Cricetulus griseus: one gene and its partners. The protein of the gene in region 3 interacts with the protein of the main gene of each other region in a pairwise test. Links are inferred from orthologs where the notes say so. Each region holds a gene or a part of one and is shown on either strand. Other genes may lie near its edges. The genes, in order: Traf3ip1, Sh3bp5, Sptbn1 and Cep63.

Evidence for each region.
Region 1: the proteins of Sptbn1 (region 3) and Traf3ip1 interact in a two-hybrid assay, tested with the Homo sapiens proteins (2 studies listed by BioGRID and IntAct). The link is inferred for Cricetulus griseus from reciprocal best matches to the Homo sapiens genes SPTBN1 and TRAF3IP1.
Region 2: the proteins of Sptbn1 (region 3) and Sh3bp5 interact in a two-hybrid assay, tested with the Homo sapiens proteins (2 studies listed by BioGRID and IntAct). The link is inferred for Cricetulus griseus from reciprocal best matches to the Homo sapiens genes SPTBN1 and SH3BP5.
Region 4: the proteins of Sptbn1 (region 3) and Cep63 interact in a two-hybrid assay, tested with the Homo sapiens proteins (2 studies listed by BioGRID and IntAct). The link is inferred for Cricetulus griseus from reciprocal best matches to the Homo sapiens genes SPTBN1 and CEP63.

Annotation. Positions count from the first base shown.
Region 1 is NC_048595.1:443,032,181-443,037,500, reverse strand, and holds part of Traf3ip1 (TRAF3-interacting protein 1), read right to left. Parts: intron 5,278-5,320; coding exon 5,215-5,277; intron 3,032-5,214; coding exon 3,011-3,031; intron 1,777-3,010; coding exon 1,692-1,776; intron 1,277-1,691; coding exon 1,193-1,276; intron 462-1,192; coding exon 338-461; intron 138-337; coding exon 101-137; intron 1-100.
Region 2 is NW_023276807.1:188,329,787-188,335,106, reverse strand, and holds the end of Sh3bp5 (SH3 domain-binding protein 5), read right to left. Parts: intron 3,830-5,320; coding exon 3,569-3,829; intron 3,245-3,568; coding exon 3,027-3,244; 3' UTR 1,738-3,026; downstream 1-1,737. UniProt on the Homo sapiens protein: Functions as a guanine nucleotide exchange factor (GEF) with specificity for RAB11A and RAB25. Inhibits the auto- and transphosphorylation activity of BTK. Plays a negative regulatory role in BTK-related cytoplasmic signaling in B-cells.
Region 3 is NW_023276807.1:77,071,073-77,076,930, reverse strand, and holds the start of Sptbn1 (spectrin beta chain, non-erythrocytic 1), read right to left. Parts: upstream 3,868-5,858; 5' UTR 3,654-3,867; intron 3,617-3,653; exon of another isoform or gene 3,092-3,616; intron 2,803-3,091; exon of another isoform or gene 2,643-2,802; intron 1-2,642. UniProt on the Homo sapiens protein: Fodrin, which seems to be involved in secretion, interacts with calmodulin in a calcium-dependent manner and is thus candidate for the calcium-dependent movement of the cytoskeleton at the membrane.
Region 4 is NC_048597.1:210,822,874-210,828,193, forward strand, and holds part of Cep63 (centrosomal protein of 63 kDa), read right to left. Parts: exon of another isoform or gene 5,132-5,320; intron 2,483-5,131; coding exon 2,277-2,482; intron 1,599-2,276; coding exon 1,319-1,598; intron 1-1,318. UniProt on the Homo sapiens protein: Required for normal spindle assembly.

The DNA of each region.
Region 1 (5,320 bases), on a different chromosome or scaffold from region 3:
TCCTAGGACACAGCTAGGCACAGGATGGCCGCTTGCGTCTCTGTGAGAGCACTCACAGACAGCCATATCCACATGAACAGGTGGACTCATGCACACTCACCGTGCTTCTCCTCATCCTCCAGGTCCCCTGCCGGCACCTGAGCAGAAAAGGAGAAAGACCAGCTATGCTGAATTTTCAAAGTCATTAAGCAAACAGACAAATGTAAAAAACAAAACCAAAGAAACTAGTCGGCTTACAGAAAAATTAGGGGGAAAACACTGTATCTCATAAATTGAAAAGCCAAAGTGCTAATTTCTAAAACCATTCACTAAGAACAGGCCCCTCCAGTGAACTAACCATCTCAATTTCTGACATTTCTGCAAGGTGAGGGGCAGCTTCCACCACAAACTGTTCATCCTCTTCATTGTCAGAGTTCTGTGAGTCGATGATCACATTGGAGACGGTTTTACCACTTCCTGACCTGAACAAGAAGAGAGCCATTTACATTGGAAGTGGCTCATCGGCCACCAGCTGTCATCAGCCCTGTGCACCTTGAAACGTCACATTTATCTGAAAGAAGCCAGACTGCCATTGCCGCAGACGGTGAAGGGAAATCTCCGGGAATAGTGGGGACAGAGAGACCACCACCTTTCACTAGCCCAAAGCCTCCATACTGCCAAGAGCTGTAGGCCACCCCAGCCCTCTCCCCCAGCCCTGCTGGTCCTTCTGCTGGAGCCACAAAGGCTCTTGGGACCCCCTTTTCCCAGACATTGATTCTCAGATAGACCCAGACCTCACCTCTTCACAGGGCAGCTCCCCTAGGCCTAGCCTCCATATCCATATCCTCTTCTTTGGGATACCCTTTTGTTTCTAACTTTTATGCAGTTAAGCCTTCAACTATTCCTTTTTATGCTTTGAAAGTCTTCTATCTAGAGGTCAGAGAAACACAACCCAGCATGGGCCCATGCATTCTGAGATATCATGAACATGAGCACACACATTTCTCCTTTTTGCCAGTCTGGAATGCATGCTGTTCTGTGGCTTTAAAGCAATGACCTAACCCCACCTTTCTTCAAAAGCAAGTTTTCCCAGAAATACCTCCTACATCCCCACCTAGTCTCTCAGCATAGGCCCAAAATGCCCGTACCCCTGGCCCATACACTAGAGAACACGGGCCCAGTCCTCTAGAACCTCCTGGCCAGGCCGTCTTACCTGTCTCCCACCAGCGTCTCAGTGCTCTCTTGTCGTTTGACCCTGGGAGGTGCTGGTCGTGCACTTCCAGGCCGAGGTACTCTCCTAAGTAAGTATTGGAAAGAAAAAAATAGGACATGAAACACTCCCACACATTTCAAACTGGACAAAATAAAAGCCTAGGTCAACATTAATACTCATTCCAATGCCACTGTCAGTGTGACAGTCAGAGACACACTCTGCGGAGGACTATGAACACCCATTAACGCAGCACAGCTGCCATTCATCGGAGCATGACAGACCTTCGCCATTGCTAGAGATTCCCCAAACTGCTACAATGCTCCAAACATGGCCATGTAACTCAGACACAAGAAAGCTGTACAAGTAGTTTTCACTTACTGTGTACAGATAATAACTATGACATTGCACAAGTGTTGAATAGGCAGCAGAAGCTATGGCAGGAGCCGCCACAGCTTGGCCTAGGAGTGGCCACACTCCCAAGCACTGCGGAAGGACACACCTGAGATTGGAGGGAAGTTCACTGGGGACTTCGGCATTCTCTGACACCTCAGGTTTATCCTGGCCAATAGGTCCAGCGTCTCCTTCTGAACAGGTGACAATCCAATCAGCAATTCAAAAAGAATTCAATAGTAACAAAAATAAATTTACTCACATATAAATACCAACTATTTCAAATATAAGTATTTGAAAAGGCATCAATCAAATGACTGAAATTTTCAATGAATTCTTTTCATCCAAACAGAAGAGTTTCACATCTAAATGTGGATGCTTGGGGACATGGGGACATGCAAACTCTATTAATGCAAACTGGCCAACTAATCAAGGGTGGATGGATCCAGTCAACAACTTAATACAAATGAACTGAACCTAAGGAAAGGAGCAGCACCCCTAGACAGACAGGCGTGTCAATCGCTCAGCAAACCACAGTCCACTCGAATCCTGGACTCCGCATCCTACCAGCTAATTGACGACACAGTGTAGTAACAGACATCAGTCACACTCACACATGTGGAGTCCTAGAAGTGTGTATGGCTCAGTTATAAACAATGCAGTCACCAAGTAGCTTTCATTTTGTTACACTGGTCTGCATTTCAAATTATCTACAGTGAATACTATATTCTTTTCATAGTCAGTAAATAGTTTTGTTTTTGTTTATGAGACAAAGGTCTTGCTATGTAGCCCTGAAGGGCCCGGATCTCTCTCTATAGACTAGGATGGACTCAAACTCATAGAGGTCTAATTGCCTCTGCCTCCTGAGTGCTGAGATTAAAAACATGCAGGACCACCTGGCTAAAACACAGTTTTTTCATTCTAATAAAAAGATTAAGCCTGCAAGTTACAAGTCCAAACTACTAAAACAGTGGGATTTATTCTACTATTTAAAGTAAAAGAAATGTACACTTTAGAAAACCATAAAGATAAATTAGAATTTGAACATCAGAAATAAATGTGATACTCTGGAAAGAGCCCTGAAACATGGGGCTTTGCAAGATAAAACACAAACAGGCAGAGGCAGGCAGATCTCTGTGAGTTCAAAGTCAGCTTGGTCTACAGAGCAAGTTCCAGGACAGCCAGAGCCACACAGAGAAAGCCTGTCTCGAAAAAACAAAAAACAAACAAACAAAAAAAGGAAAAAGAAACACAAACATGTATAACCCACATACAAGACTGAAATTTAAAACACAGAAAATTAACATAAATTCAAATGTTGTGTTTCCCTTAGTATTTCACTGGTACATTTTTAAAGCACAGAAATGAGAGCCTATGTTGACATCTGCACATGCATGACCACACCAAACACATCAGAACCGCTCTCACCTGCGTCACTGGGGGAGTCGCCTAGAAAGGAAAAGCATCAGAAAATTAGCCTTCATGTAAGGGAACCACACACAGTGAATCACTGAGCAGTCAGAGAACATACACCTCCAGTAACTGGGAACCTGCAGGGACAGGGCTCCTCTGGGCACTTCTCTAGCATGTCCCCATCAGTCTGCTATGGTCAGCCAGAACCACAACATTGTACATAACAAGACTGTGGCAGCACACACCTTTAATCCCAGCACTCGGGAGGCAGAGGCAGGCGGATCTCTGAGTCTGAGGCCAGCCTGGTCTCCAGAGTGAGTTCCAGGACACCCAAGGCTACACAGAGAAACCCTGTCTTGAAAGACCGAGAAGAAAAGAAAAAAAGAAAAACGGGGGTGGGGAGACGGGATGGGACAACACACAGACTGTGAAGGAACCATGCTACAGAACTAAGTGAAGCAAAATGACTGAGGTCAGGAAGCCATGAGAAACAAGCTGTTGTGACAGCGTGGGGCCAGCAGGACCAGCAAGCTCAGCCCTCCCTAACGAACTGACTAGACACCTCCACCAGATTCCTGCAGCCTAGACTGCACCTGCACCCAGGGTCCTTTCTCTTCAAGTGTTGGACTCTGGGCACAAACACAGCCCGTTCAGTCAAAAGTACCACAGGGTGGAGTCAAAGCCAAAGCTCCACAGCTGGGGATGCCGAATTGGCAGAGCTTGGCAACCATCTCTAAGTCCCTGGGTTCCAACCCCAGCACCACCAGACAACAAAAGTGAAGGCACATAATCCTTGTGTCACATCCAGGAACACGTTTACCTAAGGCCAATATGGTGAGGGCTGGGGCACCTCAGCTGGGGAGAGCAATACACAACCACACATGCCCATCTCCACACAAGAGCAGCCTTGCCCTCAAAGGCACAAGCATCAGAGCACCCACACATGGGTACAGGGGTGATGGCCCCTGGGATCTGACTCGCACAGGACATCCGTTGAGCTCCTAGACGAAGTCATCTGAGGGAGGCAAGAGTTCTTGGGGACACAGAAGGGGGAGATGACCCAGGATCCCCTCTCTGTGGCCCTAGGAGACCCTAGTGTCACAGCAGTGTGGGAAGTGGTGGGGGACTAGGCAGAAGGACAGTATAAAACAGCAGTGGGGACTCAGAACAACAGCACCAGGCATGAGGGACTCCACTGAACCCAGAAGCAGGCACAAGGACACCCTCAGGTCCTTGCATGCCCAGACCTGGTGTCTCCTGCAGGCTGAGCTATGCTCTACTCACCTCTGCCTTGCCCTCCAAGCCTACAATAACATGGAGCTTCTGAAATCTAACATAACCGATGTCACCATCTCCCACTGCTCTACGTCAAAGCCTAACCTCCCTATCATGGCCACGTGGAGTCTGGAAGGACCTGGCTGGGACGGCTCCTCTGCAAACCCACATCTTGCTTTCCCTGTTTCTGCTCACCGTGCCAGCCAAATCAACACTTCCCAGCTCCGAGCTTCACTGGACACCCTCCTGTCAGGATGGCTGGTAGGCTCTCCTGTTTCCCAGGCCATCCTCAGTCCCTCTCCCCCACTCTCCCTCCATCATCTACTGTGGGTTTTCACCCACCTTTGCAGCTCCTGTACCAACAGCAAGGCAGGTGGCTGGTAGTCTTAGTCTCCCATGCAGTTCCTGCCTTGGTCCTGACATATAATCACTCTCAGACAAATATTCTGTTCAAACTAGTTGACAACTATCACCCTCAGCTGGATGCACCCACCATGCCAGACCCAGCACAAGCCAGGCCTGCTGGAGGCTCCCAGGCTTTGGGAACAGACTGAAAGGTATTATGCCTCAGTCCTTCAAACGGTGCGTCTGCATACTGGAGCCACAGCAGACAGAGGACCAGGCAGCAGTCACATTTTTAGCTATCTAAAGTCCTCCGAACGGGGGTGGTCTGCAGGGCTCTGACCAGAGACCCTGGTATCTGTTTCAGGGATCATTCATGACACCCCTGGTATCACAAATGTTTCACACTAGGCCCAGGAGTGTCTTGCCTGTGCTACCAAGCATGACCTTGTTTTGTGGGAAAGACAGGTGTGACTCCCTTGCCATATCAGGGTATGCTCAGCCCTGGCTGCACCCTGAGAGGACACTGGCACCTGGCAGCTAGCTTCCTCTATGTGGCTTAGTCTCTTCCCACCAAGAGCTGTGAAGGGGGTCATTCTTACCTTTCTGTTTTACTGCTGGCTCTGGCTCAGCGTTCTCCCGCCACAGACTAGCTGAGTTATCATCTGAAATACTAGTTCAGTTAGTATTAGCTTCTCAGATCCTGAC
Region 2 (5,320 bases), about 110 Mb from region 3:
AGGACAAGGGAACTGAAACAAGATTAGAAAGATGAGGGTCACAGATCCCCTGAATGCAAGAGCAGGCTATTTTAGTATCTTGAAATAGTTACATTATGTTTCCCATTTTTACAGAGCAGGTGAGTTTAACTTGTTCATGTTGAACCCCACCATACATCTTAGGCAACTAATTACCAAATGAATGTCATAATTAATTTTAAATTTTAATTGTGTCTTTAAATGTTTATTGTTGCCTAGATGTTATGAGAGAATAAAGCTTTAAAAAGTACTATTTAGCTTAGCATGAAGATGCTCAGGCTTAAGAATGAAGATTGTCAGTGTTAGATACATTGTATCTCATCCATTGTAGAGAGAACTGAGGTATAGTTATTGTTGCTGTTTTAATTCTTAGCAGGTTGGTGAATGTAGTAATCTGAGACTGGAAATTTTAAAGTTTAGCGTGTAGAGTTTTTAAATTGCTCTGTAGTTGGTGCTTTCATAACAGGGATTTGGAAAGTCCTTGAGAATTTAGTAGGTGGTGATGGAGTTATACAGCATTCATAAAAAGTAAGTTGCCAGGAATTAGTGTTGTGTAAATTCCCATTTGTTTACATAAAAATCATCAGTACAGAATGATGCTCAAGATTTAAAAATTCTGAAAAATAGGATGGGATCTGTCATTGTCTCTACTTTATAATTATCAAAACTATTTCTACTGCCTTTAATTGAAATAAAATATTTATACTTATGGAAAGTGTCTTTAGTTTAACCTTCAGAACTTGATTTATTGGATTAATCTACTGTATTCCTTATAAAAGATAGATGTGCATGAAAATACATGATTCAGGGATAGCTTTTACTTCAGTAGTTGGAAGATTTGTATCAATGAGATTTCACTTGGCCATATAAACTTGAAATAAAGTCAAAAGAGTAGCGAATCCCAACATTGCAGAGAAAGTAAGAAGGCCATGATGGCAACAGTGGCCCTGCTTTAACTTGGAAATGTGAGGAGCACTGTGAAACAGGAGCCAGGTCAAAGGTTGTGCATTCCCAGGCTGATGGGGATGGGGAATTGAGGTCAGAGGCCAGATTATGAAGCCCCAGTGCCCAAGTAAGGGATATAGTACTATGATTCCCAACACAAGAAAATTCTATCTTCTATTCCCTGCTGTAAATGTGTGACTCCCACTTAAAAGGCAAATGGAAGAAACAACATTCAGGGTGATAGGTGACCCAGAAATCCCCCGTGGTAGATCCTAAACATTAAACTACACAACTTTACCTCACAAATGTTGATAGGAAGGAGAAATAAACAAAGTCTCGGCTACAGGGAACAGAGCAGTTGAAAGGGACTTCTGAGAACATTAATAGGCAACACTAACTGGGCACTTATCCCACAACACATTTCAGTATGCAGCATATACATTAAAATCTGATACTCCTTTGAAAAAGTGCCCAGGTGTACCACAAATTAAATCAGACTGACAAACCATATCACAGGATGTTAGCCCCTATCCCACCCCTACCCCCACCCCAGTGAAGCTGAGTGTCACCTGTGGGCTGCCTGCCTGTCTCTCCTTGGTGCACACCTGTGTAACACCATGCATGAGTAGAATTCGAATCCAGACCTTGGGATTGATCTTAAATGACCAGGATTACCATCTTACCTGAAAAAGAGAGCAGATGCCCACTGCACTCTATGGGCTTTCTTAAAGCGATGGCATTTCCCAGAGTAAGACAACAGCAGGCTTTCTCATCTGAAGTCACAAAGTTTTCTTAGTTTTTATTACCCTCAAGGTATTAAAACAAGTACAAAATAACCTTGTAATTAGGATACTGTATCCATCAATAAAAAAGGAGAAACCACTGTTGTATGAAGCTATACATACATGGCTAAAATATACAAGCTGTGACAGAATTAAGAGACAATTAAGAAATGGAGGAGGGGGTGCTTTTTTCTTCAGAAAAGCCAAATCAATAAAACAGGACAGATAAAATACAGTGCCCTAAATATGCATAACCATAAACACTAAGTCTAAACACACTATTATCATGGCATCCATTGCTTCTATTTACCAGCCTTTGCCAGTACATGCCCACTCCCTTTCCTAGCTTTAAGGACCGTTTCCTCTAAGGAATACTAGGTGCAGCATAAACCTTAAATAATTGCAATTATTGTAGAAGTTACAGCCTACAGAGAAATTAACTTCTTGTCAGTCTAGATAGAACAGTGGCAACCATTCTTCACATGCACTTGTCTTAGAATATACCCCCCCTTGGCTGGCAGGCTAAAGTCAGGCTATAGAGCCTCCCACAGCCACAAATCCCCTCTATGCTATGTCCCTGCAACCTCATTACCCATCCCCACATTGGCATTCATTCACCTTTCCCACCCCCCAAAAGTGCAGTTCATGGTGGCTTTCCTAGGAAATGGTTTTAATTGGTGTCCCAGAAGACATGCTTTTTTTTTTTTTTTTTTTTTTTTTTTTTAAATCCCCCTCTGAGCACCAGAGGTGATGAAGATGAATTGTGTTCTTGGCATTGTTTTTAAGCTTTCACTAGGTCAAAACAATGTGTTCTGAACACTTGAGTTTTTGTGTGAGTTTGAAAATTATTTTGGTGCCCTGTGATATAATGGAGAAAACATCTCAGTTTCCCCAAACAGAGGGGGCAGAGGGGATAGAGATGTAGGCTGGTGACCCCAGTCTGGCTAAGTGTCCAGTTCTCCTCCTGGCTCAGGTTCTTTCACAGAAACTAGTTATTGCTTCCACACTGCCGCTACAGGGAATGTTCTGCAAAGGCTGTGACCCTGGTCACAGTTTATCTGCAATGGCTCTGCTCTGAAAAACACACCAGCCCAAGAGCTCTTATCAGAGGGAAATTCTTCAGCCCTCAAGATCACTGAAACTTGGTTAGTGCAGTTTAGAGTAAATGCATACTATTTGGCTTATGTTAAATGATTATTGGCACGATGTTTCTTGAGTTTCATGTATAAATGTGATTTGCACATGGGTCATAGCCATCCATAGCCATCCATTGCACATGGATCAGCCAATCTGCACCATTTTTATGTCAGCAATAATCCCATCTCTTCCTTTTGAGCATTGTAGAGAGAGTTGCTTCATACGGGTTTCCAAGGTCTGGCCCTCAAGGGATGTGCTGCTTTGGCTCCTGCCCCTGCTACCACCACTGTTGCTGTTGCCGAAAATGCGGTTGTTGTTGGCTTTGTCACTCGTTTTATTCTCAGCCCCTTCTGCTCTGTCTCCTGTAGAGATACAAAGGTTGCCAAATGGGAGTTGACAGTTCCAAGAGTACCATAGGCACTGGCATCAGCCGCCTGAGCCCTCTGCAGTTCCCACGCCACCCACCATGCATCTCAGGGGTTCTCCAGCACTGGGTGATACACTGCATTTATTCCTTAGTGTGTATCTTTAGAGATACACTCATCCTCATTTTGTAGCTAGGAATCAAACCAGTGAAGGGGACTGTTCTAAGGAGAGACAAAGGACCTAAGTTCTATGTTATTGAAGCTGGTCAGGCAGAGCCCAAGCAAAGGCACAAACAATCCACAAGTTGGGTTGCAACTTACCTCGTTCCACCTCACATTCAGGGGAGGAGGCCCCACTGCATTCACTTCGAGGGCCCAGTATTGGAAACATCATTCCAAATTCAGACAGGGACACAGGGCTGGGCAGATCCAAGCTGCCGGGTCTTGCCACTGCAGGGAACTGGTCAGGAATTTCAGATGGACTTGTTGGTCCTGAACTAAAGCTGGATACAGACTGGGTTTCTGAGTCATCTTCAGACACTAAGTTGCTACAGTTGTCGTCTTCAAAGGCTTCGGAAGCCACTATGGTGAGAGAGAACATCAGTCACATGGAGTCTGCTAAGTAGTACCCCAGTTCCTAAAGGCTTGCTCTCTGCGGGCAGGCAGTCCCACAGCATGGAGTCGGCAGGACCTACAACCTTCCTGAGCCTTCTTCTGACCAGCCTCCAGAGCATTTGAAAGGAAGCAGCAGCTAGCTCCTGTGCAAAGTTTGTGTTCTAGAGGAATTTAACTCCTGCTCTAATTCTGTGCCAGCAAGTGCTACCTAGATAAAGGACAGCTAGGGATGGCTAGGGCAGAGTGCGTGTCTAGTATATACAAAGGCCTGGTTTCCATCCCCAGCACTGAAGGAAAGGGAAGACAGATAAATTTAGACACTAGCCCTTTGAAATGTGTCCTACACAGAGGCAATCTTACAGTGAAGACTGAAGGTCTTCCTTCTGGCGTAAGCAGCAAGAGCTGTTGGAATGTCTGTAGTATCTTCTGATCTCACGAGATGCCCTTAACTGTTTGCAACAAAGAACATTCATTTTCAATGCTCTGACTGTGCCTGAATCTGTGGACCAGAATAACCAAGGCACAGAGACATACCATCTTGTTTTCAGAGCCTCTCAGACTGCATTCTCGCTTCTAAAATCCTTCCTAGTTCCCTTTACACCTATGGCATCTTTAAAAATGGCCTCTAGCATTCCTGAGAGGATTGTTCTAAGTACTATACTGCTTCAGACAGACTGAATGAATTCAGATCCTAACTCCACTGTTGACTGTGTGGCCTTGTCAAGCAACTTGACTGCTCAAATGCTCTATGGACAGGATTAATGAAGTGATGTATAAAGTAACTCACTCATAGCCACTGATTACATTATAGTTTCATTTCCCTTCAACCTGGCAACTCAGCATTTGTTGATGGCTTTCAAGAATTGCTGAGGATGGGGCTTGAAATGGCTCAGTGGTTAAGAGCACCTGCTGCTCCTCCAGAGGACCCAGGTTTGATTCCCAACATACGCATAGAAGCTCACAAATGCCTGCAATTCCAGAGCATCTGACATCTTCTAACACAAGGCAAGCATGTGGTATACATAGATACACATGTAGGAAAAACACTCATACACAAATTATTTTTAAAGATAATACTAATAAGGAAAAACAAAAAAGAATGTCTGAAGACAGGGCCTAAAAGAGCCACAATGGATTATTCCACAAGAAAAGAAAAGAAAAGTTGTGAAGTGTTGAGTGTCACAGTGTAGTTTTCTTGATAAACAGAAATTAGGTCAGTCCTCTATCCTATCTGCACAGGATATGCCTGGACAGAAGAGACCCATGTGGTCAGACCCCAGGGAGACCTGCCAGCTGTCACTTCTCACAACCCTCCTTACCATAGGAGACACTGTCCCCGTCACAAAGCTGAAGCAGCTAACACATGAAGGCCCACTAGCCCATGTGCAGTGGTAAAGTGGGGTCACAATCAAATCTGGGTCCCAAGTCCCTTTTAAATCTGTCCTCAGAACTTCAAGT
Region 3 (5,858 bases):
GCACGCACGCACGCACGCACGCACGCACGCACGCACGCACGCACCCAAGCTTGTTGTGTGTATTTGTGCCCATGAAGTCAGATTCCCTGGATTGGAGTTACAGGTAATTGTGAGCTGCCTAACTTGGGTGCTGGAACCAAACTCAAATGGTCCTTAGTTAGAGCAGTGGATACTTAACCACTGGACCATGACTCAATCCCTGAACATGATGTTTTAAAATAGAAAATATATGTCTTTCCAATTGTAGTAGTTACTTATTAGTTACAAAAAATGTTATTCTTGTACTATATAAGGTTGAACATGACATAACATGCCAAGAAAAATCAGAGAATTACACTTGGTCTTTTTGAAGAAAAAGTGCTGGGTAATATGCATAGTAAAGAAAGCTTACAAGAGGAGCCCTCTGAGCTACAGTAGTAGTTTTTTTTAGCTGAGACCCTGGCTCTGTCCTCTGCATACCTGTAAAGTATTGAAGGACCCAAGTCTACACAAGGAAATCTACAGAATAGTAGAAAAGGCCACTAAAAGAATGCTGTTGGTTAGGGCTCAACCTAATTAAAGGAGTATCAACGCTGAGCACAAAAGTCAGTAAGTTAACAGAAATACTAACAATAAACTTGGCCTGTAAGGTTATCACTAAAAATACACTCTTTAGCCAGGCAGCAGGAGGGTCACTTAAGCCCTTGAATTTTAGATCAGTGGATCCTGTCTTAAAAACAACTAAGTACAAAATAGGATCTTAAAATGAAAAGTTCAAAATTATTTTAACAACAACAAAACCCAACCAGAAACAAAACCAAAAACACCAAGTGATTGCCCTTCATGTTTAGCTAAATGTGTTTTGTAGTAAAGTCCTTCTTTCTCAAAATAGTACCTCCACATGGAAAATCACACTTTCTTACATCAGGATAAAAGAAGCAAACTTGCCAAAGACACCGCTGGTGTCAGGTTTTTGCTCAGGATGCTCTCTACAACACCACAGAGGTCCTCTCCCCTTGCAATGAAAGATGACCTAGGCATAGTGCTTTCCCCGCCCTAATACTTTTCATTACTGCAGATGAAGTTTTTGGGTCACTGCAGAGGTGACAGTTACAAAGTGCTTAACCCAACAGAGTTCTGCAGCTGCTGTGTAAGTTAGAACAGCTAAACCTCCTGTGACATCAATACGGTATTTTTTACAACATAGTAAATCCAAAATGTCTGCATAACCCATGCACATAATACTCAAAAAATCTTTATGCAGCACAGTTTTAGGCAGCCAGCACAGCCGTGAAGCTCAAATCCAAAGTCCCATCTTTGAATAGCCCTTAAGTATGAAGGGCTCCAGATAATGTACACACGCATAACACACACACACACACACACACACCAACCACAGACACTATACATGCACACCCTACATACACACACCACAGAGACCACACACCACACACTTACCACACCACACACACACCACACACCATACCACACACATACCAGACACCACACACCACACATACACAACACAGACACCACACATACAGATACCACACACTTACCATACCACACACACACACACCACAAACACCATACCCATACACAGACACCACACACCACACAGATACCACACACTTATTACACCCCCCCACACACACACCACATACACACCATAGACACCACCCACATACACAGACACCACACACACACACACACACCCCATACCACACACACACCAAACTTACCACACAACACACCACACCCCCCCACACACACCCCACACACACACCAAACTTACAACACAACACACCATACCACACCCACACACACACAGACTACAAGCTGTTCTACTCTGCACTAACAGATTCATCGGAGATTAAAAATAAAACAAAAGCAGGCTCACCCTTGGCTTTGAAAGGCTAAACTTCCAGTTAGTATATGAAGTCTGCCTTCATGTTTACATTTTAGGACAGCCTGGGGTGACATTTGAAATTTATCCCACCTTATACCTCATAAACGAAATACAGAAATGGCAGCTTAAAGGGACATCTCCTTGTACCAGTGGGGACTTAAATGGTACTGGGAACCATTTCCTCACCAGATACCAACAGCAGAGGCCTCAACCCGTCCCCAGCAACACCTATGAAAATATACCTACAAGTCTGGTTTTGAAGTCAACTAATTTGTTATCAATCATGACATTTATCAACAAACCCTTAATAGAAAGTCAAAATAAATAATAGTACTTGGCATACAGAAAAATCAGATTAAAAAAAACAGGTTAAAAGAATCACGTAATATTTTCTTAGAACCACTGGAATACTATATTTTAATAAATGCTTTCAGGAGCATATGATCTGAAATGAAAAATCATTTCACTTCAAAGATGGTTTCCTAGGGGGGAAAATACATTTTCAGTAATGACCAAAGATAGACAAGGAATTACAACGTCATGCCTGTGATGATCTAATTAATAAGCACCAACTTTTCACAAATGATGGAATTAATGCCTATCTGGTTTATGGGCGATGCACAGAAAAGCTGAGAATCCACAGCGAATGTACCATGGCCTCTGTACACCGCTGGGTCGCGTCCTTCTGCAGCCCCTCCCTGCAGCGCTGATCCCTCCTTAGCATCAGACTCCCGCCCGCATCCGCAGGCCAGCTGCTTTGGCCTGCATCAGTGCTGCAGGGCGCGCCTCGGTCCCCCAGAGCCAACAGGCGGGGCAGGAAGAGTCGCCCCCAAAGCGAAAGTCCCCCCACCCCCAACACACCCTAGGTGACCTGCTCCTCCCAACGCCACATCTCGCCACAGCAGCATGACAAGGTAGAGGCCAAGGGCTGCCCTGGGCCTGGGTGGGGCCGGGCGGGGGCCGCAGGCTCCGGGTGGCTGTGCCAAGCCCCGCCGGCGAGAAGCCCAGAGGCTGCGATACTGCTGCATTGTGCTGCATCACGGTGAGGGCACCGTGAGCCATCCATCTTGCCAAAAACGCACATCCCCGCCCAAAGAGCCCGCACCGAATCCATTTTCTCTTCTGCTGAAGCACTCCCACACGTCCCTCTCCTATCCGCTCTGGCTTGACTGCAAAAAATAACGGGCAATGCTTTCCGTACAGCCTCCCCCGTTCGATGGCAGCACCTGGCACCTCTCCTGTCACAAAAACAAAGGGAAGGCTCCCTCGGAGCGGCTGTCGTGAGCCGGTGACCAGAGGCTACCAGCCCACCTACCCCAGACAGGGCCCGAGGGTCCCGGCGCCCGCACTAACCTGTTGAAGACTGGATGGCAGGAGGCTAAGGCGGGCGCGACGCCCCAGGGCGGCTCCCCCAGTCCTGCGCGGGCGCGGGGCTGGGCGAGGCGGGGGTGGCGGGGCGCGCGGGGCTGCAGCAGAGCAGCCTGGACCCACGCTGCTCGCAGCCCCGCACGGAGCCTAGGAGAGCCCCTGGGAGACCCCACGCTCGACACCCACCCCCGTGACAGGGCCCACGGCACCCGGTGGCAGGAGTCCTCACTGCGGAGTCCGCCGCGCCCCGAGGGCCGCCTCCCCACCCCCACGGCCTTCGGGGCGCAGGGCAGCAGCGGCGTCACGCGCCCTGGCCCGCGCCCCTCCTCCGCCCGCCAGCCCGCCCGCAAACAGCCTCGGGTGAGTTGGCATCCTCCTGCCTCCGACACGAACCTACCTCCGGGGGTGGGGTGGGGGCGTCGGGGTCCCGTCCTCCTCCCGCTCCTCGGCGGCCGGGCGAGTGGGCCGGGTTGGCGACTCCGCGGGGCTGGCGGCGGCTGGGGCCGGGGCTCACAGGACGGGACCAGTGGGCGCTGCTGCGCGGGGCTGCGCGCTCGCTCCGGGCGGAGAGGCGGCCGGGGGAGGGACTGGAGGAATCCGCAGCCTGAACGGCGACAGCTGCACTGATTCCGGGGGCTGGGCGGGCGCGGGGCGGGGAGGAGGGTGGAGAGAGCGCGCGGGGCGGGCGGGCAGGCGGGCGGGCGGGCGGGGGCGCGGCGCGGGGCGGGCAGAGGGGCGCGGGCGCGGCCAGGCTCGGCGTCGGGAGCGCGCACACGCCTCCCGCACCTCCGGAGCTTCAGCGGCTCCTCCCTGACGCGCGCCCTCCTCTCTGCGCGCAGCCCTGCTGCCAGGCAGCCGCCCACCCAGCGCGGGCTCGGTTCGGATGCAGCGCGGATGGGCGAGCGCGTGCACGCTCCCCCGAGCAGTGGCCCTTCCCCGGCCCTGGGCCGCGCTCCCTGCGACAGGGTCTGGCCTGGGCGGGTGGGTAAGGCTGCAGCCGCCACCGCTGGGAGCCATAGGACAATGGGGGCTTTTGTCCCTGTATCTGGCGAGGACCAATTACACGTTTAATTTGAGGCTAATTCGATTACCGCCATGGAAAAAGACAGGCTAATTTTCTCGCAGCCTCTTCTCGCCCGCGATGTTCACCTTTAGAACGTAATGGAGAAAGAGTTGCACCGTTTGCGCGGTTTCAGCTCAGTGATGGTGATGATGTCCAGCTTGGAGAGGGGTGACAGTGACCTCTCCGAGCGAAGCTTTGGGCGTTGGGGCCAGTCACGCGTATTCCTTCAAGCGGTTAATGTATTCCTCCATGGTGAATGCTTTTTCACCTTTCCCCCAAGGGTAGCTGGCAGTAGTCTACAAGTGGTTTATCTAACCCATGACTCATGGTCAATCACAGGCTCAACTTTAACCTGAGGTCAGGTGCTCTGTCCTGGGTCTTTGGAAGTGAGGTCTGCCGGCTGCTGTGGAGGACCCCTGAGATGGCGTGAAGATTGGAGTTCTCCCACCTCCATTTTCTGACACTGGACGTTTTCTTGAATTTATGTTCACTGCCCCTCACAAACAAGCCCACTGGCCACCCTGTCATCTCCCAGGCTGTGCAGAAATCCTGTAACTGCTCTCAAGGGAGGAAAAGGATGGTGAGTCATCCTGACTACGAATAGAAATGCTCTTTGGAGAACAGGGTCTGGAGAAACTGGCTTTCTCCCAGTTCTGTAAGATGCCCAACACAGCACTGTGGACTTTTCAAGGGTCCTTGACTTAAAAAGCCCGAGGCAGTGTTCCCTAAAGATCTACCCGCCGGCTTAAAAAGCACCCCGGGCTGATGGCTGTATATTTTAGTGTTAAAGTAAAACAAAATTCAATAGTCACACCACTCTGAAGGTGATTGTTAGTTCTGGGGCTTTACTATCAGTTTGGATTTCATACCAATGTTTGCTTTTGATTTATATGCAAAAAGTTGAGGAAGACAAGTAATTTAACGTTTTCCTCAGAAGGTTGATAACACAGCCAGAAGGTCAGTTCTTTCAGGGATAGGATTCTTTGTCTATTTGTTCTTTTGAATTGTTGTTCATATTAAGAGGCACTAGAAAGTACTTGTAGAACTGAATCAAACAGAAATGGAAGCTGCTACCCTTCCTGAGTAATGAAGGAAATCCACTAGAAATGGAAGTTGTTTACCTTTCACAGGTGGGGGGGAGGCAGGGCCCCTGGCATCACCCCACCCACACTGTTAATAGATCACCAATGAAAACTTCATCAAGACTGGAAAATGTCTCACTTCAAATTCTTTCAAAGCAATTGTGAAATGGCAACACCTAAGTGCCTTTATTACAGATAACAGGTACTTAAACACATCTTCTCTTGAAGGATGGCTCATCTCCTAGTCCCCATTCCACTCCCCCTAAAATCTTATTTTTTTCTTCAAAAAGGAGTGCCCCCCTCCACAACCAGTAATTAGTCCAAAAAAGATGTGAGAGGCACAGATTCAGACTCTCACTATAAACACTTGCCTCACCATTCCAAACTCTTGTCTTTTGATGGAAAATAAAGATTACCCAGGAAAGACCAGTTCTAAATTGGAGATGTTATTTGAGGT
Region 4 (5,320 bases), on a different chromosome or scaffold from region 3:
TCAGTATTTTTCCCTTTCTTAAAATTCCATCCATGGTCTCTGATCTGCAACTCTTGCTTCCAGCTATGTTTCTGATCTCAGGGCTTGGAGGTAATAAATACAGAAATCTAGCACATGTAATTGGCCTCATTTACAGTTATGTTTTGGAAGTCACCCTGAATGCTGAGTTAGCACAAATCACTGTGTAAATAAACACACAGAACAGACATACACACAGCCTGGAAGAGTATCTTGTCTCCATCTGACACAACAGAAATGAGTTTCTAAAGTGAGAAATGACTATCCCAACAGCACACTAACTGGAGATGGAATTGAGGTTCTTACACTACACAATGCCATCATCAGAGAACACTGTGACAGGTAACAGAGGCCACCCTGTGCTACCTCCATTAGGAACATGCAAGTCAGCTCTCCTGCTCTGTGTGTCCACACATGGGCACAGCAGGACCACAGTAAAGTCTAGCGGGCAAGCCAACAGGCAACTGCTGAATAATCAGATCAACTACGCTGGCCCCCTGGAGTACTAGCACCAAGTACTGGGTACTTCTGAAGGAAAACACGTGGATGTTCACACTCTTCAGAAAAAGTGACATCCATAAAATTCACATATCATAAATCAGGAAAGGTGTGCTGCCAAACTTAGGAAAAAAGTCACTTCTCTAGGTGTTAAGTTGTTTGTTTGTTTGTTTACATGAAAGTAAAACATTCATTTTGAAAACTAAAGGGAAACCTTTCCATGGAATTGCTGACACATTTTAAAAATCATACTGAAACCTTCACAAGGATGTGACTACAGCTGACAACAGGCAATGAAATGGCCCAACACAAGTGCTTCCCTACAGAGGACAAAGAACAGTGGAGCCTAGTGGTGGGGGAACCAGCACAGAGTCACAGATAGCCTCTACTACCAGGGCCATCTCAGATACCCAAATGCCACTCTGCACACCTCAGATGCACTGCCGTCTGCCCTCTGCCACCAGCCCCTTCCCAACAGCCCCTTTTCCCTTATCACTGCCCATGCTTTGGAACTCTGCTGGCATCCAGAAACAGCCCTTGATGCAATCACTGCAACAGAGTCAGCCCTCTCTAGAAAAGGCAGGCAGGAAGGTGCAGGCTACTGTCAGTGAATACCTACACTCATTTCAGAACGTGAGTTTGAAGTCATGTTGGCTGAATGTGCCTTCATGAGTAAAACTGCATGGTGGAAATGTGTGAAAATAATAAAGGGTACTACTGATTGGGACCCAGTAAAACAAAACACCCTTTTCACCTTAAATTAAATATAAAAATAAATGTTAAGATTAGAACGTTTCCATACCGAAGATACAAACTCTTCTTGGTCATTCATACAGTCAGACAGGATGTCAGAAAAGTTGCCATCATTTATATCTAGCATTGAAGGCAAAGAGTGAGCATAGCATAGAAAGTTGGAAGGCAGAGACACGGTGGAGCTGTCAGGGCTGGTGTGAGGACTCATGGGGCTGGGGCCCCTGGCCATGGGTTCTATGCTATCCAACGTTTGTTCTCGAGGCGAGTGGTGACCTGTTTTGTACTGCTCAGTCTTTATTCCATCATGTCTGTGCTGGCCATGGGTTGGCCTGGATAGCAGATTAGAAAACAAAATAAATGAAAAATTGTAGCAAATTTTCTTTCCGATAAATGCTGAAAGAAGCATGCTCATCTGAACATTAAATAACAGGCTAGGTAGCAAGGTGCTGTCACTTAGAAACGAGCAGCCCATGTAAGGACAAGTGTTCCTCACTCATTCAAGCTCTGCTCTCATGCTTGCCCCATAGCAGAGGCCAAACAAGCTACCACAGTGATTCAGAGTGACCAGGCAGGACAGCCCCATGCCCAGAGAAGGCAGCCACATAATGTCACTGTGGGTGAGAGTGTCACCAAAGGCTTTTGATAGGAAAACACACTGAAGCCAGTGGCTTCTCATTGAATCTTTCTTACGGTAACAACCTGATATTAATTGACCAAAAATACAATGGACGCTTTTTATAATAAGCCAAGTTTTACTTCTTATGGAACAGGTGGGATAGAGGTGGTGGGAGGCAGCATGAAAACGCTCTGGGGAACAAATGGGGTTCACACCTATAAGCAGGGTGCACAGAACAAAAGCTGTAATGAAATGAAGGCCGAACCACCTGAGCCACTTGTGCACTCTGCAGTCAGAATTAAACCCAGAGCCTGTGATGACTGCACTTCTCAAAGCAGAGGAAATCACACGGCAGCACACACATGTCAAAGAGACTTTTAAGGAACTTTACTTAAACTCTGCGTTCTTGAACTCAGCTACTCTGCTGCGTGCTGGTTTAAAGATCCTGCCATCTTTTTTTGTACACACGTGAGTAGCATGCTCCAGCTGAGATTTGGTGTTCATCAGATCTTTCTGTAGTTGTTGATTTTCAGACACTAATTTATTTAATGCCTCAATATAATTCTCCTGAAGGTCTGTTAGTGAAATCTCTTTTGCCTAATAAAAAAAGAATACTAGAATCACTTGTATGTTTAAGGGTACTTATGATCAATCTGCAACGGTGTTGGCTGAAATAGTTCCTTTTCCAGTTTTATCTAATCTGTGGCTTTACCTAGAGAAAGTGAAGATTTGTCTTTAGCTGTGTTAAGATGAACACAAAGAAAGCATCAGTCTGCCTAGAGGGAAGGGAGGAGGAAATTGGGGGCAGGATGGCGTCCTCCTGTACTCGACATCAGGGGTAGAAACAGGGCAGAGGAAAGCTTCAAGAATCAGAGATAGGGGAGATCAAGAATATAATAGCCATGGCTCTTAAAGGAGAATGAGGGGCACCCTTTCCACCCCACCCCTACTCACACAGAATACCTGTGGAAGGAAATCAAAAGAACTGATTCAAAGAAAGTAATTTAAACACAAGACTCTAAAAAGAATTCTGCCCAAAGGGGTAGCTTTTAAATAAATACCCTCTCACCAAAAGCACTTTTTGGTACCTAGTTTTAAAAAGCTAGGCAACATAAAAGCAGGACTCAAGTATATAGCAGGAATTACTACTGTGATCTGGTCTAAGTTATATGATTACATATCTTATTTCTTGATAATACAGGTCTACTTTTTCTCATGAGAGATTTTAATTAGCATTCTATAAGATGATGGTGATCTTTACAGTTTAACATTTCATTTTCTGTAAAAAAAAAAAAAAAAAAAACTGTGAAAGCAAGCTGGTCGATAGTGATCTGATAAACATAATTTACCTGTCAAGTCACAAACATGTAAATGCACTTGTAAACTAGGAATTACAAGACCTTTCAGTAGTTGCCCATGGCTGACAACATCTCAGAGAGGAGTATTTGCAGGACATGCGGCTATACTGTCAACCACTACCCATCTTTGTATTTGTATACTACAAAGGGGCTACACTGTCCACTGCTACCTGTCTTTGTTTTTGCAGGGCATGGGCTGCACTGTCACCTGCTACCCATCTTTAAAGTAGCCAATATTCATGAAAACTGCTGCTTCATTAAAATAATTATAGATTAATTTGGAAAAGTAATCTCAGCTTCCTAGGTGATAACATGCAAAAAGCATTTCCTAATAGTTATGTTTTGACAATTTGTACAAGATATCCACACTATATGTAACTCTGGAACCACAGAAAGCTAAAACTGACAGGATTTTTACCACTTTGATGTCTTAAAAAAAATCATTAAACTAGCATTTCTCAACCGGTGGGCCATGATCTCCTTTGGCAAACCTCTAACTCTAAAAATATATTATGATTCCTAACAGTAGAAAAATTACAGTTGTGAAGTAGCAACAAATAATGTTATGGTTGGGGTCATTACAACATGACGAACTGTATTAAAGGGTCAAGGCATTGGAAAGGTTGAGAACCACTGCACATTCTTAAAAGATATATATAATACTGTCTTTCCCTGCATCTTTCTAGAATCTCCAAGACTTAGTGGTTTATTAACAACTACTCCAGGTACATAACTGGTAAAGGTAGCATAACAAATAGGTAGCAGGCATGTAGGCATGTACTTAGGGGAATAAAGAAAGATCAATGTTTCCACTAGGATTCAGGAGAACGTTCAGCTGCACAGAACTCAGGGCAGAGTCTGGCTGTGACATTCCCCAAAGCTCTCAGTTCTGAATATGAACACACTAGGGTCCCTAAATTTTGTTTTTGTTTTTGTTTGTTTGTTTGTTTTGTTTTGTTTTTCGAGACCGCGTTTCTCTGTGTAGCTTTGGAGTCAATCCTGGCACTCGATCTGGAGATCAGGGTGGCCTCGAACTCACAGAGATCCGCCTGCCTCTGCCTCCCGAGTACTGGGATTAAAGGCATGCGCCACCAACGCCCAGCTGGGTCCCTAAATCTTTAACACTGCCAAATCACATATTCTTAAAGGATCCTGCAGTATATATCAGAAGAGTTCATGAATTACAACTTACTCATTATTGGCTTTATCAGGGCATACAAAATCATTTGTCCATACTCCCATTCAGTTACCTACCCACTCATCCATTTACCCACTCACACACTAATCTACCCATTTACCATCCATCCATCCATCCAGTCATTAGCCAGCCAGCATGTTAGCCAACTGGTCTTCCAACTCCTGCCCCCATCCATCTTCCACTTCCTATAAAACGTTTAGTTATGGGATTGAGAAGATGGCTCAGGTGCTGAAGTACTTGCCACACAGGAGGACCAGAGCTCAGATCTATAACACTCATGTAAATGCTGGCCGAGTGGACATGGTGGTCTGCCTGTAATCCTAACACTTTGAAAGAGGAGACAGAGTCTCTGGAGCAAGGTGGCTAGCCAGACCAGCCAAGTCATCGAGCTCAGGGTTCAAGTAAGAGACCCTGTCTCAGTACGCAAGATGGAGAATGACACAGGGAGATGCCTAGTACCCCCTCTAGCTGCTATACATACAAACACATACACGCATGTGCCCACACACATGCAGACAAGCACACAAAAATAAAAACATTTTTTAAATGTTTGGCTATTCTTTCCTCTCTTATTTTTACCCCACCCATATGGGTTTGTGCTTTAAAAGAAAAAAATATAGGGATGTAGAGTGAGGGCAAAACTGAATAAATATTTCCATCTGTTGTATTAAATGACAGCGTATTTCACAATACAATCATAAATCAACCATTTCAGTAACCAGTTTATTTGACAATGCCTGCTGTGCCCACTTCTGAACATTTACTCCTACAAAAGGGGTTCTTTGGGAATGCAAACTGCTAAGGACACTGAAGAACAGGTCCTTCTTATCACAGACGTAAATAAATACCCAGGTGTACTTGGGGCTGCATATATCTACA